Daphnia pulex: one gene and its partners. The main gene of each other region encodes a partner of the protein of the gene in region 4 in a complex. Links are inferred from orthologs where the notes say so. Each region holds a gene or a part of one and is shown on either strand. Other genes may lie near its edges.

Region 1 (4,710 bases), on a different chromosome or scaffold from region 4:
AGAGTCTTAAAAAACGTTTTCTCTTTTTGAAGTTGTCCAACTTCATTTTCTCCTGTGTGTTTTATTATTTGTGATCTTTCAATCGTTAAGGGCTCGTGTGTATAAAACATTTTCCCCCGTTCTTTTTTCTTTCTGATTTTACCCCGGGTGTATAACCACACCTTCCTACAGGGGGGTGAAAGCCGTTTGTTTCGTATGATAAAAATAAAAAAAAAAAAAAGAACTAGGAAGGCAGGTAAATTATTACCTTTGGTTAACCTTTCCTCTGTGCTACGGTAGGGGGGCGAGAGAAAGAAGATCTCGTCGAGAAATCTCCCCGTCCGTCCGTCCGAAATGAAGACATTCCGATCGGGGGATGGCGCAAAAGAGAAGGAAAGAGAGAAAATATTTTTATATCAGGTGAAAGAGGAGGAGGTTATACATGAAGTAGAAGAAGAAGAAAAGAAGCGTCCATAAGTTGATTGGAATGCGTTGAATAATTCACGAGCTGGATTGATTTGGTTTAACACAGAAAAGGGCAGCAGCAGCAGCCACCACACCAGGAAATAAAAGAAGATGTATCCTATTACCGGGGGGGATGATGTGAGCCTGATGGAATATCACCAAGTTCCTTGTAAAAGAAGAAGAAGAAGAAGAAGTGAGCGAGAAAGCACATTGGGTTGGTTGCCCTTTTGTCGGGTGTTTGGGATCTCTACTCGATTGAGATTGGTCAGGGCCTCTCTCTTGATCTAACTCTGCGACGTGGTGTGGGAATCGTTCGTGAGAGATATCGCGTGTCACGAACCGATTGGGCCTAAAGAAGAAGAAGAAGTTTTTCTCCAGCCTCATCTCGTGTGAGAGACAGACGCAGACTTTGCAGCCGGGGTCCAACAACAACAACAACATCCCCCATCCCAAAAAACAGCAGCAGCTCCGGTCGGAGTAAGAAGAAAATCTCGCACACACAGTGATTTCCTCCTCCCCGCAGAGTTCCTTCTCTTCCACGTTTGAAATTCCCTCCTCTTTCCCCCCCCCCCCCAAAAAAAAAGACATTTGAATTACACTGAAAATTTAAGTTTCCCGCGTCATGAGAGAGCGTATTGGAATAGAATTGATTTTTTATTTCCAACCAAAGAAAAAAAAGCAGAGGGAGGCTGGAAAGAATCCCAGAAGAAGTAGAAGCCACTTGATGTCTTATCTCGAAGCAGTATTTTTTCAAATGGCTCTTTTTTCTTTCTCTTCTTTCTTAGCTTCCAATTTTTTAAAAAACATTTTATTTTGATTTTCTATTTTGAAAATAACCAACGCAGTTAATGGGTAGAATGTGGGCAGGAAAATCTGAAGAGGAATCCTTGTTCTTATATTCTTCTTCTGGCTATATGTATATCCACATGCACGAATATATAGAGAGATATACCTGCTTCACGTCTAGATATCAAGTGGACGGGCGCTACCGATCCGCCCAGCTGCTATACACAACACAACAACACACATGACTGCCTACCGACTCCGTGCTTTTGTGGTTTCCTTGTTTTGTTTGATTTTTTCTTTCTTTTCTTTCTTTCTCCCTCCGTCGGGGGTGGAAATAGAGGAGGAAAGAGAAAGAAGAAGAAGAGATAAGTTGATGGTGAGGTTTGACGTCACACTCGTTGAAGATTGAGAACAACTGGCGCGCATAGTTATTGTTTTCTTCTTTCTCTTTCTCCCTAATGCCCAAGGTTTCCTCCCGACACTTGGCGTGCGCTTTAGTTCTTTTTTTCGTGGGGGTTGTTGTTGTTGTTGTTGTCGTCGGTAGCGGAGGAGGAAGAGGAGGAATAGAGAGACGGGGGCGACGGAAGGCTGCGGCTGTTTGTGGTTTATCTGACATGTTGGAGAGTTGCCCGCAAGCTTTTTCGAGTTGCCATTTGCGAGCATTTCCAACCAAATCCTCCGACGAGATGGAAAAAAATCCGAAAAAAAAGGAGAAAGAGACAGACGGGGGGCTAGGCGCCATCATCATTATCCGGCGGGACTTGACTGATGACGCCATCAACTTGTCTATCGCCCTTGTTTTTGCAAACTGCCAATCTGGCTCAATTTCTTTTTTTCGTAGGAAATTTGATTTCTCTCATGTCTTGTGATGTGGGAGGGTTAAACGCCAATGTGTTTTTATCATTCATTTTCTTTTTATTATTTAAAATCATTAAACTTTTGGTTTCTTCATTTGGCAGGAGCGCCGAGATCGGTGCATTTGCTGCACAATTCCGAGACGCCGGCCTCCGTGTTCGCTCTGCTGGAGGCGGCCAGCGGCAACAAGACGGTGGCCCTGGTGGCCGACAACTTGTTCGACCTGCTCATGCTCAAGCTCTCCAATTTCTACACGGCCAAGAAGCAGACCAAGATCGAATCGAGAGGGCCGCGCTTCGAAGCCGGAGACTTCCTCGTCAAGCTCGGCTCCGTCACCATGGGACCGGCCTTCAAGGGCATCCTAGTCGAGGTATACATTAAACAGCAACCCAACCAACCAACCAATATCCCACGTTAGTGCATAGACAATAACGACATCAAAAACTTCCATCTCTATCTCGACTTGACGCTGTCGATTGTCTCCCTTTTTCTTTCCCTACAAGGTAATAATGATGAGAGGCTTTTTTCTGGCCTCTTGAAAAACAAGAAAACCCTTTGACAACATCCGTTTTCTCTGTGTGTGGAGGGAGAGCTAGAGCTAGAGCTTTTCCAGCTTCTTCTTCTTCTGTGTTTACAATCTCCGCGTGATGGTTCTTTTTTTCCGTTTTCGGTCATCCAGCACTAAATATGCAAGCGCCTCTTTTTCTTTTCATTTCACTCGGGAAGGTTTCAGACAGTTAATGAGCTTGTCAATATTGAATTAAAAGTGGGGTTGGGTGGGAGAAATTTAATTATTTGAAATGATCAAATCACTACGAGTCTACGAGCTGGCTCTGACGGGTTTGGGCTAATATTTGTGATGATGGACGCTTGAATAGAGCCACAGAGAGAGAAGGGCTGAGTCAATGTTGATGTGAAAAACGGGAGAAAGAAAAGAGACTCTGTCTCGTTTTCTTGGTTTTCTTGGTTCTTTGATTATTCGTGACTCGAGAGAGTTCCTCGCTCTTTTGGGTGCCTCTTATTATCGTACACGAGCCGAGTGTGTTGGCGCTGGGGCGGGCTGATGTTGTGAACAAAACAATTGATCATCCATCCAACCATCGGGGCCTTTTTATTTCTCTTTTTCCATTGAAGAAGAAGAAGAGAAGAAAAGAGAAGAAAAACGCGGCACAACTGGAAGGCGCGTGATATTCTCCGTCTGTGTTGTTACGTCATGGGCTCTTCTCATCTTCTCCTTGTTTCGTTTTATTTTATTTTTTGGTTTTGTTGTTGAGATGTCATGGAATTTCAAATGAGTTTTTGGGGGCGAACATTTTCTGACTCGGCTGAATATTGATTTCATATACTCCCGCTGACACTCGCAACAACAATAATAACAACAGCCAGCCAGCGACGTCTGCAGGGTCTGTTTATATGGATGAGAAACAATTTTTTTGTTTTCCCGATCGATTCTATCGGAGAGATAACTTTTGCCATCCGTTTTGACAGGTGGAATATCAAGCGTGCAGTCTGCCGGCCGCCTGTTGGGATCTGATCCGCGAGTTCATGCAGGGCTTCTTGGGCGGTTGCGTCCCATCTACTCCGCCTCCGTACATCCAGGTCTGCTCCTTCTTCCTGCTGCCCGTCTATAGGCTCAAAACAATTTTATTTTATTTTTTTCTTCTTCATCCCCATCAATATCAAATAAGAATTTACGATGTTTGCCTTTCGTCATGTTGTTATTATTCCAATTCGTCTAACAAAATTTTTTTTATTTTTTTCTCTATTTTTTTCCTGGATGCATAAATCTTTTTTCTGTTCCGTGACGGACCATCAGAGCCGATTCGGCGACATGCTGGGCACTATCGACGGCATCAATCAGTACCTGGAGCAGTTCAACGCTTTCCGCAAAACCACCGGCATCCGATAGATCGACAAACACAACAAACAACAACTCTATTTGCCCTTACACAACAACAACAAAAACGCGCCATTGCTACAACAAAATAAAAAAGGAAAAATACAAATAAAGAAAATAAAAAGAACTCCGCCGCTCCGGTGTTTTTCTATGTTACTTGGGTACAACTCTATTATCCATCCTTTTGGAAAAAGAAAAAAAAACTAAATGTTTTTTATTTTATTTTCTCTTTAACCGTGTTGATTCAAAAACCGCCGTCGCCCACCTTTGCACACACACTCGACCCTTCTTGTATTTTTTGGACTTTTTTTTCAAAGTTTCCCGCTTTTCTTCCGGGCGCTTTTTTTAAAAAACTTTAAGTCAACAAGAAAAATCAAGAGGACAACTTTCTCTCTTCTTCTTCTTTTATTGTGTTGATTTTGTGGGCTTCCCGTTTCTAAACAAACACATCATCACCTCAATGGATGGCCATTAGGGGTTCTCTGTTGTGTGTGTGTGTGTGTACCAAGTGCCATTTGCTATCCTCATTTTTTCCCGGAATTTTTTGAACATTATTTAAAAAATGGCGCGGTTTTTTCCCCCCATTTCAAAAATTCAAATTGCTGACTAGACACAAAGGAGATTTCCACGGTGTATGCCGTCGTGTTCCATCTGCTTTGATATCGTTCTCGGTTTGAATGAAACAAGAGACTCCGACGACGTCGTGCCACTTGATTGCGGGGGGGTCA
Region 2 (3,353 bases), on a different chromosome or scaffold from region 4:
CATCAAAATTTACCCTGGAAAATTCGTGAAATAAGAAAACAAATTGTTCAAACTCACCTGAAATTCTGCCAAACGTAATCTTCTCCAAAGACATAATCGCTGAACGCAGACACTGTTGTTGCATCAAAAAAGGGTTGGGGAGGGAGAGAGAAAAAAAAAGGAAGTGGGGAGACTGAACGCCACCCACTTCCAACCCCCTTTATTTTTCCCCCTTCTTACCGAACGACCGGAGATCGCCGAAAGGGGTCGGAGAAGATGGCAGCACTATATTTATACACACGGGAGAATTTTTTCTACTTCTTCTTTTTTAAAAAATAAAAAGCTAAACAACATTCTATCGTTTTTTTTTTCTCCTCCTCCCGCTCCCCCCTCCTCTTTTTTTTTGTTGCACGCCATTCCTAAACAAACGGACCGCGTGTTCTTTCTCTTCTTACGAGTGAACAGCAACTTCTCTCCCCCCTTCTTTCCATTTTGGGTTTTCTAAAGGAAGACAAAAAAAGAAGTGGATATATAAAAGGTTGGAATCCTTTTCAAACAGTTTCTTTTACAATCTGTCACCCCATCTTCCTTCCTTCCTGAAATGACTTGCCTCACCTGTGTGTGACAAGAATGTTCACTCAATATGATTTTGAAAAGAACAGATTTAAAATTGATGTTGTGGCGGAAACCAGAAATGAAACGAAATTCTTGCAGAGCAAATTGTTTGTTTCATTTTCTTCTTTTAAATATCAAAAATAGGGAACTAGAGCAAATAATGGTTGGATTTAGGAATTTGGACCTGTGCTCTGCATGGCCAGTTGGGTCTGTGCAATGTCGTGAAGTGCATTCTGAATTTTCTCGAGCATCAGCTCTCCTTCGCTGACAACCTCCCTCAATCGTGCAGCGGCACTTTCATTTTCATTCTCCAGCCTTCTGAGACTTGCAATCTGCAGCGATTGAATTAATTTTAGTCAACTTCGTAGAACATTGCACCGACAGAATACTAATAGAACCAAGTTTATACCTGCAGTTCGGAGGTAGAATCTTCACTGGGTAGTGAATCGATTAGGACGTCAATATCTTTGGCGCAGCGGGCAATCAATGTGGCAAAAAGAGAAGCGTGATCTTCTTGTTGTTGTTGAGGTGTTCGATTGCCTGCTCGATCGAAACCTGGGAATGTAGCCGGTGGGGCGGTTTGTTGCAAAATACCGATGGCATTGCAGAAATTATCAGCTTGCTAGAAACAGAGAATTAAACCACGAATTTGAGACGATACACTTGGCAATTTCGTCAATGCAATCAGTTATAAATACCGCATTTATAGCGTCTTGGAGTTGTGTCAAACGATCAGCCATTGTTGATGGAAATGCAGAGATGAGAAAAGCAGATGTGCCGGCTATTACGCCACCTAGCGATGAATCTGATAACTTCAATGCCAAATTTAAACATTCACAACCTGTATTGTGAAATTAATTCTACATTCTGATGATTACAGGAACTGGGCAGTAATTTACCGATCTGCATATATAATTTGTTAAAACAACAATTCAAGCTAAATATAATGCGTTATCTGATTCCCGTAACAGGCACTAAAACAAAATACTAGAACGTGATCCTGAACACATTACAGTTTAAAATTTTGTTTTCCTTCAACTAAGTAAATTTGGCTATTGCTATTAGTCAATTGATGGATAGATTCCAGGCAGTTGATTGCGGGATTATCGCCATCGGCAATCGCCATTAACTGTGTAGCAAAGATTTTCCCAACTTCGAAGGCAAGCGGATGAGTCGCATATTCTTTCAGCTAAAATATTTAAAATTCAATTACACAGACTAGGAATAATTGAAAATGTTGACATTTAGAAAACTAACCGGCATCCAACAAGCGTCGCTGAGCTCACGAGGACACATTTTGATTTCTGTGCTACCTTCAACAGGTCTGAGATAAGTCACGAAATAAATGTCTGAACAGCCGAACCTTGCACTGGGATTCTTCTCTCTTGATTGCAAATGCCGCACGGCAACGAGTGAAACGAACTCTGTCTTAATACCAGTCTCCTCAAACACCTCCCTCTTGACAGCAGTAGCAATACTTTCCCCTGTAAATTTAATAATTGGTAATGATTGAATGTTAATGATGTCTAAATATACATACCTGGATCTACATAACCACCAGGGAGTTTCCAGTGTGGTCTTTTGTAATACCTTTCCTGAACCACAAGAATCTCATTCTTATCATTGACAACCATGGCTCCAGCGCCTACCATTGTGTGTGCATAACTAGGCACTTGACAAGGTTCGTCAGAAGGCAACCATTTGAGCAACACACTCAACTCTGGGTTTGCGTGATGGAAAGAAAAGCCATTCTAAGAAAATGAATAAGGTAATGCTCGTGCAGTTTTGACTAGCAATAATTCTTCTTTGACTACCTGAATTAGTACTGGAATCCATTCAGCACAGGTTGGTTCCACTTCAAACCAGACTCCACGAACTCCAGTGGTGGACCAGACTTGCAGAGATTCTAAAAACAAACAAAACAACTATTACATAAAACAAATGATGTGTTAATATATAAAAATAAATTTGCACCTTTAAGAAGCTGCTCCATTCGGTTCCTTTCTTGTGGCTCTTCGCTCGAGCGCACAATGATTCCGCCGAAAAGATCCTTGGCACCTTGGAATGTCGACATTTTAACAACAATTGATTTCGTCTTGGCCAGAGCGCTGCTCAATAAATGACGAGCAGCAGTAGCATTCATAACACCCGTTCAATAAATATGTCATCACGGCCTATCTCTTCATCTATACACAGAGTCCTTTTTATTCTAGAGGCAGGAGATATCGTCCAACGACATCGTATAATATTTATGTTGACATCGTCTGCACTTTTATGTCCCGTGAATCCGAGTTGCCACACATTTTCCCTCTCTTTTCCGGCTTCTATTGTAAATCTCTGCCTGTCTTTTCCAACAATAAATGATAAATAAATGATACAGACACTTTACTAGAAGGGCATGAAATACAAATGCCAAGATTATGTATCTATCCATTTTTTCTGCCCATGTTATTTCACCAAAACGACCTGGCAAGTTGCGAATTTCGACCGCTAGATGGCCAAGTTCGTGACAAATCAACACGGGAACGGATGATTATGTTTTTCCTGCCCCTTTTCCCGATTCGTTTGACCGCCTCGCTAGGCAGCCACCACCTCCTACTCACGGTCAAACGCACAAACACGCACGCATACATTTTTTTTTTCTTTTAAAGATACACAAAGTCGTAGTAGTACACTCCCCCCACTCGCCGTACTGTATACACACACACACACTTTCTAAGTTTCTACTGTCAGCCGTTTGGGATTGCTGTGTGGCGCAT
Region 3 (3,934 bases), on a different chromosome or scaffold from region 4:
GTTGTCTCTCAGCATCAGGCAAGTATCCTGTAATGTACACTAAATCCAACTCATCACACTGATGTATCTTCACATCTTCGTTCCCCCTAACTAAAACAGTTTATGAGAAAAGAAAATTCAACAACAGAATATTAACAAACATTATACCGAATTTAAGATCTTTATAAAGTTGTAACACCAAAGCTTTTTGTTTTGGTGTTCGAAATGTCATATTTTCTATTAAGTCCATTTTGTCAAATTCGGAATCAACAACAACTAGCTATTCGAGGGGCTAATTCATTTTTCACTTTTCAGACGACCGCGAGAAGCCGAGAATTGACAGAAGCAGACATCACACGATCGAGAAACAAAGGAGGAACGATTCTCGCAACAACAAAAAAAATTATTCAACAATATTGATATCATATTATTTTTAACATTATGGATACAATTTAATTTAACACTTGCAAAATGATTAAATTTTCTGGTTCTAGTTCCAAGTAGTTTTTATCAATTATTTGCGTAATGCATACTTCGCAATGTCGATAATCAGAAAAACCGTCTGCTTCAACTCTCAAGCTTATCACAACCAAAGTAAATCTTAAAAGCTGCTATGGAAAGATCAAACAAAAAAGCTGGTAAAATGCAGTTCATTAAAAGTTTTTACAACGACCCTTTCAGATGGTAAGTTTTATATAATCCCATTAACTTATGAAACACTCACTAAGAGAATCTTTTTTTATCTTAGGTCGTTGGTGAAGAGCGTGGCTTTGTTCGCCTTGGGAGTAAAGATTGCACGCGAGTGTGTCGACATGGACTTAATGGCTCCTCAAATGCAATAACTACGTTAATTGTCAAACAGTTTAATAATAAAAGCAGAATTGCATAATATTCTCAAAAATTTTTTTTTATTTGACTACATTGTGGGGCAATTGTAATTCATTTATAATTCATCTGGCTTTTGAAACTTGTACTTTCCTCTCCAACTATTTGGCAAAGGAATAAGAGCTGGGCAAGGTAACTGACCAGGTACCTCACAGATGCAATGTCTGCTGCATTTAGCTCCAAAATTAGCTGGGTTTTCTATTTTATCCTCAGCTTTCAGTGTTTCTCTAGATATCAATCAATTAATAATTATTTGGCATTTAATCTTACATAATTGTTTCAACAACTTACTCTGATTTGCAAATAATCCTGCGTACTCTTTCATAGATCTCATCTTTTGACTTGAAATCAACATCCATTAGAACCTCTTCCCCGTTTTCTGAACATGAAATTTGTTACTTATTTGAAAAAAATGTAATATTTTTTTAGTTACCTAAATAACACCGTATAAATGGACTAGGAGTCAAGTTCTTGAAGGTAGCTATCTGAATATTGGGGTTTTTGTACTGTAACTGAGGCAAGTGCCAAAACACGAATTGTCGGGCACCTTCGTGATTTTCACCTTTTGTGTTGTAGTTGATCGAAAATATCTTGACTCTATCCTTTAACACCAACTTATTTCGGTCTAAATACTCCAAAGTTCTTCGGATCGGAGCAGGACCTTTCATAAACGGCATTTTATTATGGGAAAAACTATTTTACTCGACCTAAATGATAATGAGAACTTGAACAAATAATTTCTCAAGCAGACGAACCAACGGAATGGCTAAGTCTTGATAATTTGACACTAGAGGGCTTATGCAACAAACGCAGACGACATTTTTGTGATTGACATTTGGTTGAAGCTAGCAAGCAGCAAGCTACAAAAGCATCACATCAGTTTATGTGAATTAAAACTTAAAAGAGCTTTCTCATAATTTATAACCAAGATGCAGCGTGAAGAGAAACAGCTGGTAATTATATAATTTAAGAATTGAGGTAAATTTTCATCCCAAACTTACAAAAAACGTTCAAATCAGGAAGCCGCTTTGGAAGCTTTGCTTCAGCGAATTAATGACCTAAAGACTTCTATCCGAACTCTGTTATTTCGTTTGGAAAATGAATATGGATCCCTCAGTTGGCCTTCTGTTTTGGATAGCTACGCCGTTATATCTGGCCAGGTAAATTATGCTTAAGACATTAGCAAGTAATTCAGACTAATTTTAAATCGTCAAACCAGATGAATACATTGCTGAAAGTTATGAAGAATGATAAAACTCCACTTTTGAGAAACCTCATAGTTTTACCTCTAGTTTTGAGCCCTGATCCAGATGAGGGTAAAGTTGCACTTACTATGCATACTTGCTGGTATGAGTGATTATCATCAAACATTTATTTGTAGAGCTCAAACAAGCAACAGAAGGGCGTGTTGTGGCCTTTTCACATGACATAACACCTGATATGCTGAGAACAAAACCTGATCCAGATGTGGAACAACGTCAAAATCAATTTGAACAACGTGCTCTACAGGTAAGAATACTTTTAACAGAAATAATAACATAAAATCTTACAACTTCTTTATTGTTAAAGGTTCCACCAGAGACAGCACAAAAGCAAATCAATGCAATGAATAAAGTGGTCAATCATGTTTTGGAGCAAATAACACATTCAAGAGAAGATTGGGAAAATGAAGCTACTGTCCGAGCAAATGCAGCCCACACTTGTATTATAGCCGATACGCACGCTCTGATTGCTGCTGTGGGATTGGGCAAGAACCTTAAAACCCTTCCTACAGCTGCTCCAACTCAACCTGGTGAGTTAATTATGCTTGCTTTGCTTCTAAAATTGCAAAAATTCCAACACATCGTCTTCAATATAAAGGTCCAGGACGCGCACAGCCTGGTCCGGCTCCAGGGAAAACAACAAGTACTATCAAGACAACCATCAAAGCGGCCAGCCAAGCGCACCCATACAACAGATAATAGGACTAGACCAAATACACATTTATTTCATATTGAAATCAGAATACCAAACACGCCTCCCTTATAATATCTCAAATGGAGCACTTCAATCATCGTAAACTGAACATAAACACTCATAATTAACGTCATTAAAAAAGGGGGGGAGGGCGACACGGAATATAATAAGTATTTTAGCGCGGAGAGTTTATAGTCAACTCCTTAAAGCATGAATCGCAAACCCTGACGGGTTTCCGGCTATTACCAACGGCAGTCGATTTACTAGAACACTCGTTGCAAAAGATTTGGCCGCAGTTGCGGCAGTGATGTTTCCTAACCGTTAGATTAAAACCTTTTTGGCAGCTCAGACAATCATTCACTTCGGAATCATCCGCCCACTTTCGGCCCTGCAATTTGGCGTTTTCCATCTGATGTAACGAAGAAAACCATTTTGTCAATTTATAAATGAAAATGTTTGTCGATTTTTTATTTATACCTGAAGACTCTGATTTTCTCGGCCGAGTTCGTGTAAAGCAGCTTGCGAATCTTCTAGGCGACGACGTAGTTCAGCAGCGTTGAACTTAAGTCTGTCCACTTCATTCTCCCATTGATTGCAATTGTTTTGCAGTTCTGTTTTTCCCTCCTCCAGCAACGCTACCCGAGTTTCAAGCTCTGCATTGGAAATTGATTTAAGCACCATTAAAAACAAAACCCAAATTAAAAAAAAAAAAAATCATACCAATCTTAAGTGTGTGATATTTCTCTGCCGATGCCTGTAACTCTTCACAGCGCTGATAGCGGGTTGCCGATAGGTCTTCAGCTTCACTTAAATTACCCTTCAGCGCCTTAATTTCTTCTTCTAGCTTCGTCTGTTTTTCTAACCACGCACTATTTTCCTTTGCTCGTCCTTCCTTGGCTGCATTCTGTTGAATCAACAAAGCCATATGCAACAATCGTTTCATGAGATAGTTTAAAACTTTTGATCTCATACCAATTGTTCGATAAGCTGATTTTTGTCTTTTAGCAAACCTTCCGATTCATTTTTGATCCGCTGCAAATGGATGCGATGCTCAGTCGTTTGCTCGTCTAGTTGTTGCTGAAGGTGCGTACTAAGAGTTGCGAGTGAATCTTTC
Region 4 (4,845 bases):
ACTCGGCTGGCCAGACCGTTGTCCTGCAGAATCTTTTTTATGGCGCCCACACGGCCGTCCATCATGTCGGAAGGGGCTACTACGTGGGCCCCTTTGCGAACCATTTGCAATTTAAAAAGGTAAAATAATGGATAAAATTCTATCTAGTTATGGAAGTAATACCTGATTTGGCATATGCTAATGCTTGTTTAGCCAACCTTGCAACACTGGCAGCATTATCTATGGTACCGTCGTCACAGAGGATTCCACAATGTCCATGGATGGTGTATGCGCAAATGCATACCTGCATTTACAGATAAATCAAGGCGTGATTCCCACAGAATAAAAAAGGATGGGTTCCGTTAGATAAAGAAAATTCTCAAACATTGACTGAAGCTGGTCTGTGTTCGAATTAGCCCAGACACCGATCGTAGCTGACAATATTCATATTAGTCTGCACTACTGAAGCACCGCACTGCGGTACTGGAAATGTCAGATTTCAGCGGTAGCGAAATTTGGCAATTTGGATAAATAATTCTAAAAGTAAGTCAGATCTTAGCGGGCATTGCATAGTAGAAATATGTAGCCTGTCCAGCAACAACTCTAATCAACATTTTGCTACGTTATTTATCGAAAAACTGTTGGATGACAGTTACGCCTGTAGGGTTTTTTGTTTATTCATGGAACATCTGTGTGTGCCTGACTTGTGTTACTTGATACGCCACCGGCTAGTTTGTGATGAACTTGAAAGCAAACTAGATAAGATTGACTATCAGGGTTAACCAAAACTTAAAACTCCAAAGAATTATCTCTAAACATTTATCCTGAATTTTCTATCCTCAATCTGTATAACCTTAATATTATAACATTGTAGTGGAATTACTTAAGATTTTAAATAAAATTGCGCTACAACTTACATCACACGCAATGAGTAGATCGGGGAAAAGTTGTCGAAGCTTTTGGATGGCCAAAATGACTGGGTTCTCAGGATGGTCAGCCGCCGAACCGAATTCGTCTTTCGGCATTGAAAATGGCACACCGAATAACAAGACAGAACTTAATCCCGCTGCGACGGCAGACTTTAAATGATTTTCGAGACGATTAACTCCGAATCGATAAATGCCAGGCATCCCACTAATTTCCTGTTCTGCTTCAGGGTCATCTCTTTATGTTATATAAGAGTAAATTAATGTCTGGCTAAATTTTTATAATGAAATTGCATTTAGTTACTTACACTATAAATAAAGGGTACATCAAATTGTTCGGTTTAATTGTTGTATCGGAAGTTTGCCATGCTCGTAGAGTCGCGTGAGAATATCCGCTGTGTAAGATATGTGTTATTGGGACTTCAGACATTCTTAACTAATCTTGTGGTGACTACTGAATCAATTCAACTGAGCACACTGAATGCCCAAACTAGATTGCTCTTCTTTACTCAGACTCCCGTCTTGCAATCTATCCTCGTACTACATTTGCATATTACTAATTTCGGAAAATTTATACCAAATAAAATGTACTTTATAATTATTTAATATAATTTATTCAAAAACATTTATACGTATACATCAAATTATAATTTTTTGCGATTCGTGCGAGTTTCATGTGGAAAAAATAATCAAAATCAAATCAGCGCATTTGTAATGTGCTCCGTTAGATGGCGCCGCAGAGCTCAGAGAAATATTGCGTCTGCTAGGTCTTTTTGGAATGGCTGCTAACGTTGTTTGAATGTTTATCTATTCGTCGCGTTGATTTCTGTCATCCAAAAAATATTTACTTGATTTGCAGATTGTCTTAATCTCTGCATTGAATTCGTGTTTCCATATATTATGGATCTGATCGCTGTTGTCCGACGTAGTCATTATGAAGAAAGCCCCAGGAAACGCCAACGATTAAACACGGGCAATTCTCCGTGGGAAAAGTGATAACCCCTTCACATTCTATTTAGTGCTATTTTTAATATTATATTGTATAACTCTTAATAAAATGTGGTTATCTTTTGCAGTGAGTCTGATATTGGGGTCACAGCGTGTGCCGTGTCTCCTCAAAATGTTATAGCATTTGCTTGTTATGGAACACTGAAGAGTAGTACAGCAGGTCCAAGTGACCAAAACATGAATGTTGTTGTTTGTGACGCTAATACCCCATGGGATACGCATATGTGAGTTTGAAATGTTAACAACTAGTTCAGAAAATTTGAAAAGTTATTCTGTTTTATTTTCTAGTGTTAAGAGCTGTGTGGCACAAGTAACTGTTCTGGAATGGGACCAATCTGGTCATTACTTGCTTATCGGTGATACTGCGGGAAATGCAGAAATCTGGACAACACTCACACATCTTTTGAATGAATGGACCAGAGTAGCTAACATTTGCATTCCAGATGAGCCAATCCAGGCTGGAATGTTTTTCTTTAACGGAAAGAAAGTAATATACAGTTGAAGTAATTTTATTTTTCAAATTAACCCTTTACATTTTTTTTTTTTTTTCAAATTTGTTTAGACATTTTTAAATTGCCAAAACCGGGAAAGTGTGTCATATCTGGACAAGTATATTCAAGTAGATATGAAACCAACTATTCGCGGATTCGGAGGTCGTCCTCTACAAGGTTTTCTTGTTGTTGGAATGACTGGCCTTGTGCAAGCTTTTGTGATGGGTGGTACTAAAGGGAAAACAACAAATGTAGAAATTCTTGGCGGAATACGATTAGCATATTCCTTTGTGGATCTTGCCTGGACAAAAGGTAGTTGAGTAATTAATTCATTACCAGTTTCTTAACTCATGTACGGTCTTTCAGATGGAGAAATATTAGCCGTAGCATGCACGGGAATCCCTTTGGACCCGATTGTATATTGCAAGCTTACCATTCAAAAAGATGACGGAGTGGAATTCAGTTGCCTTCTTGATGAATATCGTCTTCGTTCTGAAACACTCACTGGACTTTTCCCCCTGCAGTCAGGAGGTAAATTTGCTTGAAATATCGAACATTTTGATTTTGGTTTTTAAATACTGAAGGTGTCTTTCTTTTCAAAATTAGCCAACGAAATGCGTGTATGTGGTGTGAATTTCAGTTCACGAGAAGATCCATCGGGAATATTCCTAGTAGTAAATGGAATTAATAGTGGAACTCTGCAGTATTGGGAGCTGTCAGAAGTTGAACGAACGATTCATTCACTCTTCTCCACTTCGGCTGCCATGAGTCGCTTCCTGCAGTGGCAGTGTATGTCCGTTTTCAATTGCAACAGTCGAATCACCTACGTCTGTCCGTCACGCAATGTCTGGGTAAACGGCCAAGAAGCGGGTAGCCCTCCACAGCATCATTTAGTCATCGCCACAGTATGTGGAGAGTTATTGTGCTTATATCGCGAGAGTATGAAGCAGGTAGATATTGTCTATCTAGATTACGTTGAATAGCGCAAAAATTAATAACATTTCATGTGGACACGGTACGTTTTCAGGTTGGACACCTCAGCATTGTGGATAGGTCGAAATGTGAAAGCGCCCAATCGAAAACGGTCAGCTCGGCGTGTTTCACTGCCACTGGCAATGCATTGATTGCCTTCGATAACACTGCGACAATGTTTGTCTGCAAACTTTCTCCCATCACAGATCCTGGTAAGATTTTGGCATAGTCTTCGGCAAATATCTGAATGAAATAAGTTTTAAACTGTACAAATTATGTGTAGGAGCTTCGGTCACCATTCCTTATGCATTAATGTCATTGGAGTATTGTCTGCTGACTGGTATCGACTATTGGGACGTTCTTATCGGTTTGCGATCGACGATGCTGGATTCCCTGTGTGAACGATTAACCGACTCCTTCAACCAGCAATCTATTGGATTACAGCAATTGCTGCAATATAGATTGCTCAATATTAAATTGGCTATCTTCAGGTAACTAATAGAATTTTGTTACGAGTGCCATTAGTAATTGATACAATTTTTGGTTAAAAGGTTGGGTCCAACTGCGAGTTCAAAGGCCGGATTGCAATACGGTATTATTATGCTTAACTCAGTATATTACGCACTGAAATCGCTGCTGAGGCCACCATCAGAGCTCTTTAATCAAGATAGAGCTCCTGCAGATAGCCTTACTGGTAAATAATTAATGATTAAACATCCATTTCTATACATGTAACATGTGCTCAATATTTTCAATTAGCTGTGTTGAGTTCCAAAGTTCCAGAGGTCGGCACTGAAGTTGACAAAGTGTTGCTACACTTGGAAGTCAAAGAATTTACAGTTGAGGCATCAACTCTCATCACAGTGCAACATCTTATTCAATGGACAGTCACCTTTATTTTGAGGTTATTGAACAATTTGCCCGATTGGCGAACTGCAACCACTACACGAGGAACAATGGTAATATTTGACGTTTCAAATTATTCGTAATAAAAAGCGTTTTATTAAATCGGTTGGAATTCTTTCAGTGCGACATGCTACGTGACCCTAAACTACTCAATATGTTTCGAGAACTATTGGTCATATTCAGGATTTGGGGCTTGATTCGTCACTCGTGCTTGCCTACTTTCAGCTACATGGAGAACGTTGATGTCATTGCCACACTGTTTCGCATTCTAACTCGACTTCTTCAAACATCAGAACCTGATGAAAGCCTTTTAGGTAATATTTATTCAAAATTTTTCCTCAAGAGATTGTTGCTGCACCGACAACGGTTGTCAGGTTTAAGTTACAAATCAGTGGTGGCTGTGGTTAACGCCAGCCACGTCCGGAAGGATCGACCACTTCCTTGCTCGATAAAAATTCGTTTCTCGTAGCCCAGAAAATCAGAATATATTTTTCTCTAGTCGTGACTAGCAGGTGCTCCCCTTTAAGACCCATATTTAAACATCTCTTGGAATTCTTGGCGAG
Region 5 (2,848 bases), on a different chromosome or scaffold from region 4:
TGCCGTGGCTAGCTATTTGGCGCGATACACTTCTAGCTTGCCCGTCGTTCTGCTCTTGGGTTTCTTCACTTCAACAGCACTTAATCGCTGGTTCAACATAATGTCTAGTATGCCTGGAACCAACCGAGCGATCACACTTTTCGTTGTGTCGCTCAAAGAAGAAGTTGCGGATGGTCGTGCCAGAGTTGACCTGTACATCCGTTACGTTCTGCTTATGTGGCTCCTCACATTCCGCATTGTCTGCCAACCATTGAGAAAAAGATATCCTAATCTGATGGCAATCCAGAATGCAGGATTACTATGCGAGAACGAACGACTTTTACTGGAAAAGCACAAAGGGCAGCCTGGCGGTACTTCGAGGACGTGCTCTCTAGTCGTCTACGATTGGTTAAACGGATTGTTGCGGGACACTTCTCAGAAAGGATACTTTTTCGTTGCTAATGATTTCGGTCGCAACATCGATGCTATCCAGGCCTTGAAGAAAGGTGGTGGAACAGTAATTAAATTTGCTACAAAGAACATTCCTGTTGCCCTGATTCAAGCTGTGACAATTGCCATCTATTGTTACGGACTCGTGTCTATATTGTCCCATCAAATAGCGGAAAAACATTATTTGACATCGGTGATGAGTGGTTATTTTCCGTTGCCCTACGGTACGAATGACCACAAATTTCAAAAAGTGTTTTGTTGTTTTAATATTATACCTTTTATTATTGCAGCTTTGCCATTCTTTTTTTACTATGCCTGGCTCAAAGTAGGCCGAATTGCCACTGACCCATTTGGTAACGATGAAGACGACATCAATATGCTAAACGTTTTCGAAGGCCACATCAATGGGGCGGTACGCTTGCGCAACTCCTACGGGATTAAAATTCCAACTTCGACAACAGAAGACAGCCCCTTCTTTTTGACATAAGCTAACATAGCTGATTTCTTACTGAAAATTCATTATATTCCGAAACTGATGTGAACAAAAATTGAAAATTACAATTTCTTGACAATGCGAATTTTTCGTTCTCTCAGATTTCCACAGTAGGCGAAATGCTCAGAAGGTGATTTCCAGCAAAATTATAAGAGTATCGTCACTTTGAAGTCGGTCAGCGAATACTTTTTGAACAGAAAATTGTTATCCATTTCTGTTCCTTGTTGTGGACTAATTTATATTCTTGAATGCACAAACGATCTGCGCAGCGATTTTCCCGACACCCATTTCATCGCCGGGATGAGCCAACAGTTTGGCAACATCTGAAATGGACATTAACCCGGGCCAAACGGCAAGCATGTAAAACACCTTACGGAAGTAGAAAAAGATTTTGAAAGAAAACTCCGACGTTAATTTTGTAAAAAAAAAAGATTTACCAGAGCTGGAGGAATTAAGGTCAAAAGAGGTCTCATGACTTCTTTGGTTTTGATTGAAGTTATTTCTGCCATCGTTTGAATGAAATAACTAATGAACGCAAGCTGCGGAGTAATAATGCCTTCACCAGCGGCTCGGGTCATTAATTGCATTAAATTTGCAATTGCATTGGAGAGTGGATTATTTTCATGGGCTGAAAACAAATATCAATATGTCAGGGTTTCAAATAATCTTAAAAAAACAAACAAAAAAAAACAACAAAACAAATCAACAACTTACCGCTGTTAGGAGCTACAAACATAAAGTCAAATTCCTCCTCATGAAGAGCCATCTTTTTCAAAGGAGGATATCGAAAACCCGGCGTATTCATATCCCAATCGATTGAACGTTTTGAACCCAACTTTTTGGAAGGGCTGGATGAGTCGGATTCTGGGGCTAACTGGTTATTCAACGCAGCGGTAAACAGCAGGACAGTCAACTGGGCTAACGCTTTGCCGCCTGGTCCACCGGTTTCTTCGTCACTGAAATAAAAAAGGAATGTTAACTGGGATTGGCATTACGCTGAGGCCAAACCCTTTTACCTGGCCAGCATTGAGGAGTGAGTTAGTAGGAATGGGAGTACTCTGGTTGCTAAAGAAATGGCACAGCTTTCTAAATCTAAATGTGCAACTGACAGCGCTCCTTCGACGCACCGTTGTCTTTTGTCAGAAGATTGCTCTTTAATAACTGCCTGCGAGACACAAAGAAAGGACATTCAATCGCATACCCATACCTGCTAGGCTTGTCTAGGATAAAGTTCTTTGATTAAGTACCTTGACCAAAGAAGTGACCAACCATGTTGCTCCACCAATTTTGAATAGTTGATCAATACCCACTGTTGTGCTATGGTCTGACCAACCATGATTTAAAATCTTATTCCATAATTTGGTTAACTGATGATCCAAACTTTGATCTTGATTCTCTGAGACGCTTTGTAGGGGATTGTCGTCTTGTGCCAGACGCCGAATGATTTGCAGCATCAATACTGACCTTAATGGAAAAAAGAATTTTATAGTGAACGCGAAAAATCATTTGTTAGGGCATTATCGTAATTTACCTTTCCCTATAATGCTCTTTAGAGTCATCAAGATTCAGGGAAGTCATCAAATGATCGAGCATGCTCGTGGGCTTACTTTTCAGATTTGCTGGTTGTACCTAAAGGAGATGTCCACCGTATTTTAATTCGAATCTTTTTGATTTTTTTTTAATTGGATCTTTTCTTACTTGGATGTAAAATCGAAGCCAAGCGGCAGCACAAACAGACAGACAGCACATTTGAGTCCGTAAAGTATCGAGAATCCTTTCAACTTCTTCATCAGAAACTAATTGTGATTCGTAAGCCCCCAAAATTTCCCGTATTACAGCAGGGACGTGGAAACAAGCTTCGTGCCATCGAACGCTCCTATGAATAGAAATGGGCTTATTATTTTTCAAGAAAAAAATGGCGAGATT
Region 6 (4,132 bases), on a different chromosome or scaffold from region 4:
AAAGCAGTGTTTTTTACCTGTATGGACAGCAGAATGCTTCCAACTCGATTTACACAAACAGATGTTGGTGATATGTTCATAGGTATGTTAAAACACAAGTATATATACTGCTTGCTTTTTTATATTCCTGGACATTGTAAATATAAGTTAGAAATGCTGGTAATCTGGTTCCTCACTCGAAGCTGTATGGAATTGATTCAGCTACCACTGAACCAGCAGCCCTGGAGCTGGGGTGCATTGTAAATAATGTGAAGCACATGGTTGTTTGTGGACACTCAGATTGCAAGGTCAGTCAACCATAAACTTGTTAAATGATAACATAAACATAATGACACACAACTTTTGTTTCAGGCTATGAACCTATTGTATAGTTTTAAAAAAGGAATTGAAACCAACATGAGAACTCTCGAGAGATCTCCACTTAAAGCTTGGCTTCATCGCCATGGTAGTATTTCTCTAACTAAATTTGAGAGGTTAGAAGTGCATGGTTTCCAACAGCCCTTGACTTTCCCAATGGAGGGACCATTCAGACAATTTGTTGCCTACATAGACCCTGACAATAAATTTAGTCTAACAGATAAGCTCTCACAGGTAGAATTATGCCAAGTTATGTAATGTCTACAAATCTAATTGGGTTATCTTTTTTCAGCTCAACACATTGCAACAACTACAGCATATTGCCAGTTATAGCTTCATTCAAAGTGCCATAAATTCGGGGCGAGTACACCTTCACGCGTATGTATCATGTATCAAACGTTTACTCGTAAGTGTTTAATGTTGAAATTTATGATACTAGGTTATGGTTCGACATCTATACCGGAGACATCTACGTCTTTAGCCGCAAGCAAAAACGGTTTGTGGAGATAAGCGAAGAGACATCCGATTATTTGCTCGATGAAATACGCGAATACTTTGTGTGACCTTAACCGACGTGCCTCGGGTTATTATGCTGAAGAATATATGGAAATCTAGGTATTTTTATAGAGATGACGCACATCTCCTGAATTTATATGGGGAGTTCGATTCTAAAGCTATTTTGTAAATAGTGAGAAGTTAACTATAAAATAAATTGTTGCATAACTTTATAATGGAAAAGAATTTGAACAATTCGAAAAAGGAATTGCACAAATATTTATCTATTTTACGAACCTTTGAATGAGGAAGGTTTTCAAAAAGAAATGCGAAAGTAGAATAGTATACAGGATGGTTACCAACAATATTAAGCAATCGCGCAGGATACAGAGTGTAAATTGTTAGCTCACGTGTTTACTGAGAATCGGAAGATGAACTGCTACTCGAGTCCGTAGACATAACGTCGACATCTTCATTCTCTTTCTTGGGATTTTTGTGATCCATTCCACCACTCACACCCAAGTGTGAAACTGACAAACAGGGCATTTGCAGGTCATTTTGAGATAACCAACTATAAGTGCCTGCTTGAGAATTCGGAACTGAAGACCCCTGCTGCAAAGAATGATTAGGACGATGCAAAAGTTCTGGAAAACTCATGTGTCCATTGACATTCATTTCACCAAGACGGCCCAAAAATCCTAGCCGCATTTCAATATCTGAAAACCACCACAAAACAACATGAAACTACTGGACAGCAATTTAAAAAAAAATTTCTACCCGTGGGATATGGTCTGCGTAAATCTCCTTGCTGCCAATTCAAAGGAGCACAAACAGCGTTGGAAGCCGATATTCTGTGAGCAAATTTTATCAACTCTTCGGAATTTACAGGTCTGTTATTCGCCCGTGTGATTGATTGCAACTTTTGCTTAGCTTGAAAGATTGCAGTAGCCTGAAAAAGAGTAAGTTTATGAAATACTAAAACCAACAAAATAATTAAAAATAGCTTACTAATAGCTGCTCTGCCTCCTTAAGCTGCTTTTGAAGATTTCGAATCTCAACATCATGCCTTTCAACTTCTGTCTCTAAGGCAACTACTTTTTGTTGTAATACACCTTGTTCTTCAGCCAACTTAATAAAAGAAAGAATTAGCATTGAAAAAAATTATGAAAAACAAATAATTTTACCTTAAGTGTTGCCTTAAGATCAGTGTCTTTTTGAAGAACCAATTCAACAAGTTGAGAGTGTTCAGTACTCATAGGTTTCTGCTGCTTCTGGGCTATTAAGTTGTCCAAAAGTTCCCTAATAAATTAAAAAGATTAAGTTTAGTACAGTGACAATTATATTTTGGAAGATTAAAATTCAATAATCAAATTCAAAACAGTGTATGATACAAACGAGTGTGACAAAGTGTTCTGAATTTCAGGTAAACAATGGTATGATTACCTAATAAGATAAATAAATATATCATGCTAATGAACAATAGATAGATCTGAGGCTTTAACTTTCATTAAAAAAATTTTGAAGGAAGAACAATTGCACTACGTGATCAAAATAGTCGACGAACAAAGGCAGCCAAATCAAGAAAAACTTACTTTGCGATGATTTCGATATCGTCGATGCAAGTAAGCAATACTTCTCTGGTACTTTTTTGAGAAGTCATGTCTAGTTATTTTTATTCCTTTTTATAGAAATAGTTATAAAAACAGGTAAGTGAAACTTTCCAATCAAAATTAGTTTTTCTTGAATGCGGCTCGGCTACGGCTGCAACAACAACTAGAGAAGTGAGGTTGCCATATCTAGATTTAACCTGACCACGTATTTTTTTAAATTTCCTTATCCTTTATTTATGGATTCATTCGGAGTCGAATCACCGCTCTACAACGTGATTTCGTTAAAAGAAACTAAAAAATATAATAGTAATGAGATATGTTTGAAGTGTATAATAATGCAACACTGGCGACGATTTATGAATCGAATTTCGTAAACATAAACAGACAGCAGGAATCCGCTGTTCCGCTCTTGATCGTCTGACCCGCCCAAAGTTTTCCGAGCAATTTCTCAAAAACAAACTCCGGAAAGAGTGAAAAGACATTCATTTGTTTGCTTGGGTGAGTATATAGTCCAGCAATTCGACTTTAGAATCTCCAGTTATGAGGACTTTAAAACACATTTTGTGTTACAGATTCTTGGTTCAGTTCCTGTCTACAAGAATGTCGAATGACAAGTCTGTCAAAGTTAAGGTTGGAGAAGAAGAACGAGTATCGCAAAGTTTATGCGGTTGTTCGGTCGGAAAATTTTGGAAATGGAAGTACAGTGTCCATAAACAATGAGCAGAAAAAACAACTAGGTATAGAAGGAGACTATCATGCCGGGCATATCATTGCCAAAATGCTTGGAGGATCGGGATCGGACGTAAATAATCTCGTCCCCATGCACAAAAATTTCAACAACAGTGCCTACAAATCTTTCGAATTTGAAGTCCGCAAGATGATTGAGGATTCTGAAAAATTTTACCCCGGAAAACAAGTAGAAGCTCGTATCACTGTTTCCTTATTTTACAATCAAGGTTCCAATAAACCATATCGAATCAAGTATGATGTTGCCATGTACGCTAACGGCGTAGAAAAGCCGAGTTACGTTGGAGATTTCAAACTGAATGAAAATGGACGACACTAATTTAAATCGAGGAAATTTTTGCTTTGACGCTTTTTGCAGAGCTATAACTCTGGCTTTTTGTAACCAATAAACATTTTTCAATGTTGAATGCGTAATCAGGCGCCGCGCAATGTATTTTTTTTACAAGAAAGCAGATTTTAGTACGTACAAGAGTGCTTTTACAGCCATCTGGCAACCGTTTTCGTTACTAACCTACCTAGTGTCTTCTGCAGTGGTTGATTTGTTGACGTTTATTGCTCGAAAATTCTCCAACCCACTAACATTTACTCGTTTAGTAATCAAATTTCAAAATGTCTTCTCCCTCGGTGAATACTTCATTGACTTCGTCCCCACAGAAAGAAAGAGACAGCAAAGAAAGAGAAAATCCAGATGAAAACTATGATCAGGTAATTTTCTTCTTTTAAGTTACATTAAATCTTAAGTAATTTCCAGCTGAAAGTTTTGCTGGTACATATAACATATTGCTGGTGGAAATTTTTGTATTTAAATTTGTTTTAATGCTTTACTGTTCATTTAATTTCTAAATGTTTCAATTTCTAGTTTGATGATGATGAACCTGATTTGCATTATGGATCCACTTCATCAGGCAGAAAGCGCCTCTTCA
Region 7 (4,853 bases), on a different chromosome or scaffold from region 4:
CAATGGTTTAAGAACATATTTCGGGTTGAAAATCTGTTTCAATGCAATGATGGTCAACACACGTAGCAATAAGGAAGTCTAAAGCTCCGAAAAATATCCTAACGACCTTGCACAATTCCATTGAATTTAATTTCTTTCTAAAAGTTACAAAGAACGACGTAAAAGGCGCGGATGGTAGCCCAAAGCGACGTCCTCCCAAATGTGATTGTGATTTATATCAGCTTAAAAACAAGCCCCGAGCGCGACTCATCCTTTAGGCTAGATATAAAAATAAAGGATGGATAAATAAGAAAGTTTATGTCGGGAAATATTTTCTCAAATTAAAATCCAAAATCCCCTTATAACTCTGAAGAACAAGGAGATGATTAACGTTATTTCTGACATTAATTAATCAAACAAAGAATACAAAATAAAAACTGCAAGGAAATTTGTCTTTCACGATGACTCGACTGGCAAGTCAGACGAACAGAAATGTGCCTACGTGATATCCAATGTGAGAATCACGCTATTAAAGCACATAGACACTCGCCGAAATGAATGCTAAATCATTCTTCACCTGACGGCCCTCAAAGCGGAAAGCTTGAGGATGTTGTAAAGGTGTTTAAAAATTCGCATCGCGAACGATTCGAACATTATTTCGAAGGTCACCTTCAATGCTTTATTTGCTTTCGATTGCAACTGTGTTTGTGTGAACGCCAAATTAATTTTTCTAAGCCTCGTATTCGCATTTCGCAGTGCTCCGGCTTGCAAAAGATACAAAATGATTAAATATTTAATTTGCGAATGAATCCGGTGAATCAAATCGGTACAATATTTCGATTTTCAAAACGCCACACCTAGTTTTCTCTGCAATGTGTCAAAGGTCCTTTAAAGTCAATGTCAATGAAAAAGCTAATGTAAACTTGTCTGAGACCGGTCGGCTGGAAGATGTTTTTTTTGTTAATAGTTTAAAGCTATATTCAGCAAATGCCACATCGCCTTTTCCGGTTTTCATCGAGTTCTACCTTTTTCTTTGTCATGAGATTTACGTATATGGTGGTTATCGCTGTGTCAAAGTGCCTAACAGAGTCCAAACTCCTTTTTAAGATTTTTGCCCTTGGAGTTTTATTCGCCTTCATTCACTACGACAACATCCCGACACAAAGAACTCGAGGAAGTAGAATCTCCCGAGCCGCATATGTGCTGCAACACGTCGTATTGTTGTAAGATTGATGACCGGTACAATTAAAGCAAAGCAGAAAAATGTGGCGACAAGGAAAAATACAATAAATTAACTGTTTTCGAAAATTCTGAAACCCAAATTCGAAGAAAGTTAGAAGATAAAATCAAAGAAATTGTCGTGAAACCTGCCGAGATGTTTTCCCCATTGTGAACGAATGGTACACCGCCTGGTTGACAATAGGCGGCGGTGCTGGAATGGTAAATTAGGCCAATCATTATAGGTTTAGGCGTTTAGCCAACATTTGCTAAAAGTGTGACTATCCGCTATCTCTATTGTGTGAACAATATATTATAGTATCTTTGCAAATTAGTCGACTTATACTGCCCTATTTCCAAACAACACCTGAAGTTGTTTTACGTGAAAGTGTAAAATGTCGAGTTAGCAAGTCACTTTACCGAGAACAATTTCGTCGAAGAAGAGGAGAAACAATGTGAACAAAAAATTGTCAACTCAAAATAGGACAATAACGCGGGTGTCAACGTGTGAGGTAAATTGACAATAAGCGTGACCGGAAAAACCCGTGGTTGCGAAATGGCGTTGAGAGAACCACCACTTAATTGTTTTTGGCGCGCCCCTCATCGACTCACGCACAAGTGTGACGTCAAACAATGAATGTTGATGACGTCAAGTGAATAAAAAAAAAATTGTGGCTGACGGAGGCAATTTTCCTGAGGCGAACGAAACCGGGGAAAAATAATGACGTCAGCGTTGTGCATCGAATTTCTTTAACCGTCATGCTGGAAGGTTCCTCGAACAGGATTTGTTGGATAAAACTAGCAGGTTTCTCTTGGGAAAAAAAATAAATTCTAGTTGCACTTTGCTGGAAGTGTTTAAAGTTCAAATATTTTTTTATTTGAGGTTTGTGAACCAACAACAGACAAAGTTGTAAGGTACAAAACTGGGTCTGACCTGCAGTCGTTCTGCAACACTAAAATTTAATGAACTCTTACTTACTGAGTAAACAAAAACTTCGCCTAAATGAACCCTTACTGAGTTATAGTGAGTAAACAAAAACCGCAAGAGAACCTACTCCAGTTAACCGCATCTAGCTCAGGAATAATCGTACTCCGTAGGCTACTATGTCACGATTTAACACCAACAAACAGTCAAAAAATAAAGAATAGGAATACATTTTTCCTACCTTCAGGCCTGGGAAATATACGGACAGCGGGACAGGCATCCACAAGTGCTCTCCATCCATCCGCAGAATAATTGAATAGGATATTAAAGGGCGGCCTCGTGAATACACCCACACTCACATGGGCATACACGAGGCCGTTTAAAGAAAAGGGAAGAAGAGACCCGTAACATGGCCAACATCGATAGTTTCTCAATCCAGAATCCAAACGGGATGCTGTTAAACTAATTAAAAAAATAAGAAATGGGTTACGAAAAAATATCTGCAGAAACAACAAGCAAGGAATAGTTTAAAATGAGACAGTGAGTAAAACTTGATTGTTAATAAACAGACGGTTTACATGTAATACACTGCATTTTTGCAAGTCCTGCATTACATTGCACAATTAAAGTATCTAGCAGGTCACACACCACTCGAATAAAAGTAAGGTGTAATGAAAATCATTACCTAAGCGATGATGCTGAGATTGCTGCTGATGACAGGTCTATGGTTACATCATATCTTGTTGATGGCTGTCTCTGGCCTCAAATATGCACTAAGGAAAAGGTTACATAGTGAACAAACAAACTGCCATGCATCGACAGAGGGGCTTAAATGATAAATGCTGGTCAGGACGAACTAACATTTAAAAAAATTTGGAAAAGGTTTAATTCTTCGAAATTCAGTTTCTATAGTCATTCTATAGGTATTCTTAGTTTTATTTACCTGGTAATCAGCCGTGTGTACGAAGTGATTCTGTAAAGAGAGTAGGCCTAAGAGATGTGACCACAGAGTGGACACGACCACGTTTATTTCGAAACTAAACAAAACAAAAGCAGCAGACGACGCTAACTTCCTAATTAGCCATTTATTTCTTAAAATATCGATATAAATTATTTAAAAAATCCACAAATATAAAAAACACCCACTCAAAATACGATAAAAGTGGTTTTCCCACCCGCACTCGACATCCGCTAAAGGGATCGGAATTATTTTAGAATGATCTAATAACCCTACCACAGACAAGAAAAAAATTCAATATTTACACGAAACCCGCAGATAAATGACTGCCAAGAAGGAATAATTTCCTTCTTATCTTACAAACATATACAAACATAATACATACAAATACCAGGATATAATACCACCATGAACTTAAAAGGTTATATCCTTCAACTGTCGTTCGGGAAAATTCCGCTTGTAATAGCATTTCTTGCGTCCGTGTAAAATAATTCTTATCTTTACATACAAATACCAGGATATTATACTACTATCAACGTAAAAGGCTATATCCTTCAAATGTCGTTCGGGAAATAAGCTCAGCTTGTTGTGGCATTTTTTGAGACCGTATAAATTATCGGTCAAAAAAGCCTGAAATTTAAAAATTTGCGATCACGCATGAATTAACCCCAAGCGTTAAAGATATTTCGTCATCCTGTAACATCTTATACCCATCATGGACTTGTGCAAAAAAGCTCCAATAGAACTAGAAATTTGAAAAGGCCCTTCGACATTGAACACGAACTTTCACGCGACTTCATCTGCATACGAGCGCAGCAGCAGCAGTTTCAAGGGCGTGATGAGAAGAATTTCGAAATGTCAGCTGTAACACACGTTTAATGATTTTTCTTCTCAAGAAAACTTTGAGAATCTGGAAGAAAGAAACAAAAAAAGGTGTTTCCAATTTTTCACAACCAGTTCTCGATCTCAAATAAGAGATTTCGTTCGCAATCAACGCATTTTTTACCTCCAGGAAAATCGTTCGGGAACGACGACCAACAAGGAATTTGATGTCGCGATCTGTTGCCAAGGTCGACTCTACTTCACGCTCGAACCATATGTCTGCGTGAACTGCTGCTCTGTTCTTGCGTCCCACCTGCGACCTTGGTATAGGCAAACCAGTTACTGGCGGTTACCGGTATATATTCAAACTTGCTATTGCTTTGAGGATTCGCTCGGTTGAGCAAATATTGAACGCCAACATAGACATCCACACAAACCACAAATACATAGAAGAATAAATTTTCTTTTGGGAGGCGGCGAATTCGAAGTCTGCAGGCCGCAGGCTGTTTTTTCGTGATAGTGCCCATAAACATCAAAGCTTGCGCCTAGAGTTCCAGTCACGGACCGTTTGCTGGAGGGAGGAATTAGTCTAGTTACTATAAAAATTCAGAGTCCCTCTGAGACGGTTTCCTATTTGACAATCGCAGTTGTTAAAGAATTGGGATATATTACTAGCAACGCGAACCACTCAATACTTAACAGACAGACCGGAAACGGTGTGAAAGATACCCATGATAGACTGGTACTACTCCGTGAACCAATAAATATGACATTTTCGTGGACGTGAAATCGTGAGATATCCAGGAAATGTGACGTCAACAACACGTGAATGTTCTACGCTCTTTGTCTAGTGTTACCGAAACGTTGTGAGGAGATTTTTAACCTTGACTAAGCTCGTTTCGAACGAACGGCAACAACCATCCTACCTGAGGGATACAGCGGGCGTTCTTT

What was found.
Region 1: mediator of RNA polymerase II transcription subunit 16-like (region 4) and mediator of RNA polymerase II transcription subunit 20-like share a complex: the UniProt entries of both Homo sapiens proteins name them as parts of the mediator complex. The link is inferred for Daphnia pulex from reciprocal best matches to the Homo sapiens genes MED16 and MED20.
Region 2: mediator of RNA polymerase II transcription subunit 16-like (region 4) and mediator of RNA polymerase II transcription subunit 21-like share a complex: the UniProt entries of both Homo sapiens proteins name them as parts of the mediator complex. The link is inferred for Daphnia pulex from reciprocal best matches to the Homo sapiens genes MED16 and MED21.
Region 3: mediator of RNA polymerase II transcription subunit 16-like (region 4) and mediator of RNA polymerase II transcription subunit 8-like share a complex: the UniProt entries of both Homo sapiens proteins name them as parts of the mediator complex. The link is inferred for Daphnia pulex from reciprocal best matches to the Homo sapiens genes MED16 and MED8.
Region 5: the proteins of mediator of RNA polymerase II transcription subunit 16-like (region 4) and mediator of RNA polymerase II transcription subunit 24-like are in contact, whole or in part, in a cryo-EM structure (PDB 7EMF), measured with the Homo sapiens proteins. The link is inferred for Daphnia pulex from reciprocal best matches to the Homo sapiens genes MED16 and MED24. Residues at the interface, in NP_005472.2 of Homo sapiens: His29, Cys30, Pro31, Ser32, Arg52, Asp54, Asp55, Gln56, Glu82, Asp102, Val126, Glu127, Gly128, Asp129, Pro130, Val184, Ser185, Leu187, Thr203, Glu204, Ser205, Cys207, Arg208, Leu209, Arg210, Gly211, Arg212, Asp232, Gly233, Ser234; in NP_055630.2 of Homo sapiens: Ile539, Leu540, Asn541, His544, Pro545, Glu593, Arg629, Met630, Leu631, Gly632, Leu633, Asp634, Glu635, Asp676, Gln679, Gln680, Thr681, Ala682, Pro702, Pro703, Lys704, Arg705, Pro706, Ile707, Lys708, Glu709, His737, Met738, Gly739, Gly740.
Region 6: mediator of RNA polymerase II transcription subunit 16-like (region 4) and mediator of RNA polymerase II transcription subunit 4-like share a complex: the UniProt entries of both Homo sapiens proteins name them as parts of the mediator complex. The link is inferred for Daphnia pulex from reciprocal best matches to the Homo sapiens genes MED16 and MED4.
Region 7: mediator of RNA polymerase II transcription subunit 16-like (region 4) and mediator of RNA polymerase II transcription subunit 23-like share a complex: the UniProt entries of both Homo sapiens proteins name them as parts of the mediator complex. The link is inferred for Daphnia pulex from reciprocal best matches to the Homo sapiens genes MED16 and MED23.

Annotation. Positions count from the first base shown.
Region 1 is NC_060026.1:11,659,744-11,664,453, reverse strand, and holds the end of mediator of RNA polymerase II transcription subunit 20-like, read left to right. Parts: intron 1-2,189; coding exon 2,190-2,455; intron 2,456-3,573; coding exon 3,574-3,684; intron 3,685-3,901; coding exon 3,902-3,994; 3' UTR 3,995-3,999; downstream 4,000-4,710. UniProt on the Homo sapiens protein: Component of the Mediator complex, a coactivator involved in the regulated transcription of nearly all RNA polymerase II-dependent genes.
Region 2 is NC_060027.1:1,945,950-1,949,302, forward strand, and holds mediator of RNA polymerase II transcription subunit 21-like, read right to left. Parts: upstream 1,428-3,353; 5' UTR 1,335-1,427; coding exon 1,293-1,334; intron 1,217-1,292; coding exon 1,004-1,216; intron 927-1,003; coding exon 765-926; 3' UTR 688-764; downstream 1-687. Other genes in the region: nudix hydrolase 8-like, read right to left, coding at 1,604-1,783, 1,852-2,078, 2,135-2,345, 2,409-2,500, 2,569-2,737. UniProt on the Homo sapiens protein: Component of the Mediator complex, a coactivator involved in the regulated transcription of nearly all RNA polymerase II-dependent genes.
Region 3 is NC_060023.1:11,386,652-11,390,585, forward strand, and holds mediator of RNA polymerase II transcription subunit 8-like, read left to right. Parts: upstream 1-1,655; 5' UTR 1,656-1,793; coding exon 1,794-1,817; intron 1,818-1,883; coding exon 1,884-2,024; intron 2,025-2,083; coding exon 2,084-2,180; intron 2,181-2,245; coding exon 2,246-2,373; intron 2,374-2,433; coding exon 2,434-2,656; intron 2,657-2,724; coding exon 2,725-2,825; 3' UTR 2,826-2,863; downstream 2,864-3,934. Other genes in the region: protein CutA homolog, read right to left, coding at 1-90, 148-229; probable 28S ribosomal protein S25, mitochondrial, read right to left, coding at 923-1,091, 1,156-1,243, 1,298-1,541; early endosome antigen 1-like, read right to left, coding at 2,996-3,229, 3,298-3,473, 3,541-3,724, 3,793-3,934. UniProt on the Homo sapiens protein: Component of the Mediator complex, a coactivator involved in the regulated transcription of nearly all RNA polymerase II-dependent genes.
Region 4 is NC_060021.1:617,850-622,694, reverse strand, and holds the start of mediator of RNA polymerase II transcription subunit 16-like, read left to right. Parts: upstream 1-1,646; 5' UTR 1,647-1,805; coding exon 1,806-1,897; intron 1,898-1,981; coding exon 1,982-2,137; intron 2,138-2,201; coding exon 2,202-2,400; intron 2,401-2,475; coding exon 2,476-2,716; intron 2,717-2,770; coding exon 2,771-2,935; intron 2,936-3,010; coding exon 3,011-3,354; intron 3,355-3,431; coding exon 3,432-3,588; intron 3,589-3,659; coding exon 3,660-3,867; intron 3,868-3,927; coding exon 3,928-4,070; intron 4,071-4,135; coding exon 4,136-4,335; intron 4,336-4,403; coding exon 4,404-4,596; intron 4,597-4,845. Other genes in the region: delta-aminolevulinic acid dehydratase-like, read right to left, coding at 1-91, 163-283, 897-1,143, 1,214-1,335. UniProt on the Homo sapiens protein: Component of the Mediator complex, a coactivator involved in the regulated transcription of nearly all RNA polymerase II-dependent genes.
Region 5 is NC_060019.1:9,364,226-9,367,073, forward strand, and holds the end of mediator of RNA polymerase II transcription subunit 24-like, read right to left. Parts: intron 2,799-2,848; coding exon 2,621-2,798; intron 2,552-2,620; coding exon 2,454-2,551; intron 2,387-2,453; coding exon 2,170-2,386; intron 2,088-2,169; coding exon 1,939-2,087; intron 1,879-1,938; coding exon 1,637-1,878; intron 1,551-1,636; coding exon 1,360-1,550; intron 1,292-1,359; coding exon 1,154-1,291; 3' UTR 931-1,153; downstream 1-930. Other genes in the region: bestrophin-3-like, read left to right, coding at 1-653, 720-916. UniProt on the Homo sapiens protein: Component of the Mediator complex, a coactivator involved in the regulated transcription of nearly all RNA polymerase II-dependent genes.
Region 6 is NC_060026.1:12,376,070-12,380,201, forward strand, and holds mediator of RNA polymerase II transcription subunit 4-like, read right to left. Parts: upstream 2,637-4,132; 5' UTR 2,513-2,636; coding exon 2,445-2,512; intron 2,152-2,444; coding exon 2,037-2,151; intron 1,981-2,036; coding exon 1,861-1,980; intron 1,802-1,860; coding exon 1,630-1,801; intron 1,569-1,629; coding exon 1,267-1,568; 3' UTR 1,121-1,266; downstream 1-1,120. Other genes in the region: beta carbonic anhydrase 1-like, read left to right, coding at 1-82, 148-287, 352-591, 650-735, 797-920; transcription initiation factor TFIID subunit 13-like, read left to right, coding at 3,819-3,914, 4,069-4,132. UniProt on the Homo sapiens protein: Component of the Mediator complex, a coactivator involved in the regulated transcription of nearly all RNA polymerase II-dependent genes.
Region 7 is NC_060019.1:10,887,461-10,892,313, forward strand, and holds the start of mediator of RNA polymerase II transcription subunit 23-like, read right to left. Parts: upstream 3,163-4,853; 5' UTR 3,066-3,162; intron 2,896-3,065; 5' UTR 2,808-2,895; intron 2,585-2,807; 5' UTR 2,364-2,584; intron 1-2,363. UniProt on the Homo sapiens protein: Required for transcriptional activation subsequent to the assembly of the pre-initiation complex. Component of the Mediator complex, a coactivator involved in the regulated transcription of nearly all RNA polymerase II-dependent genes.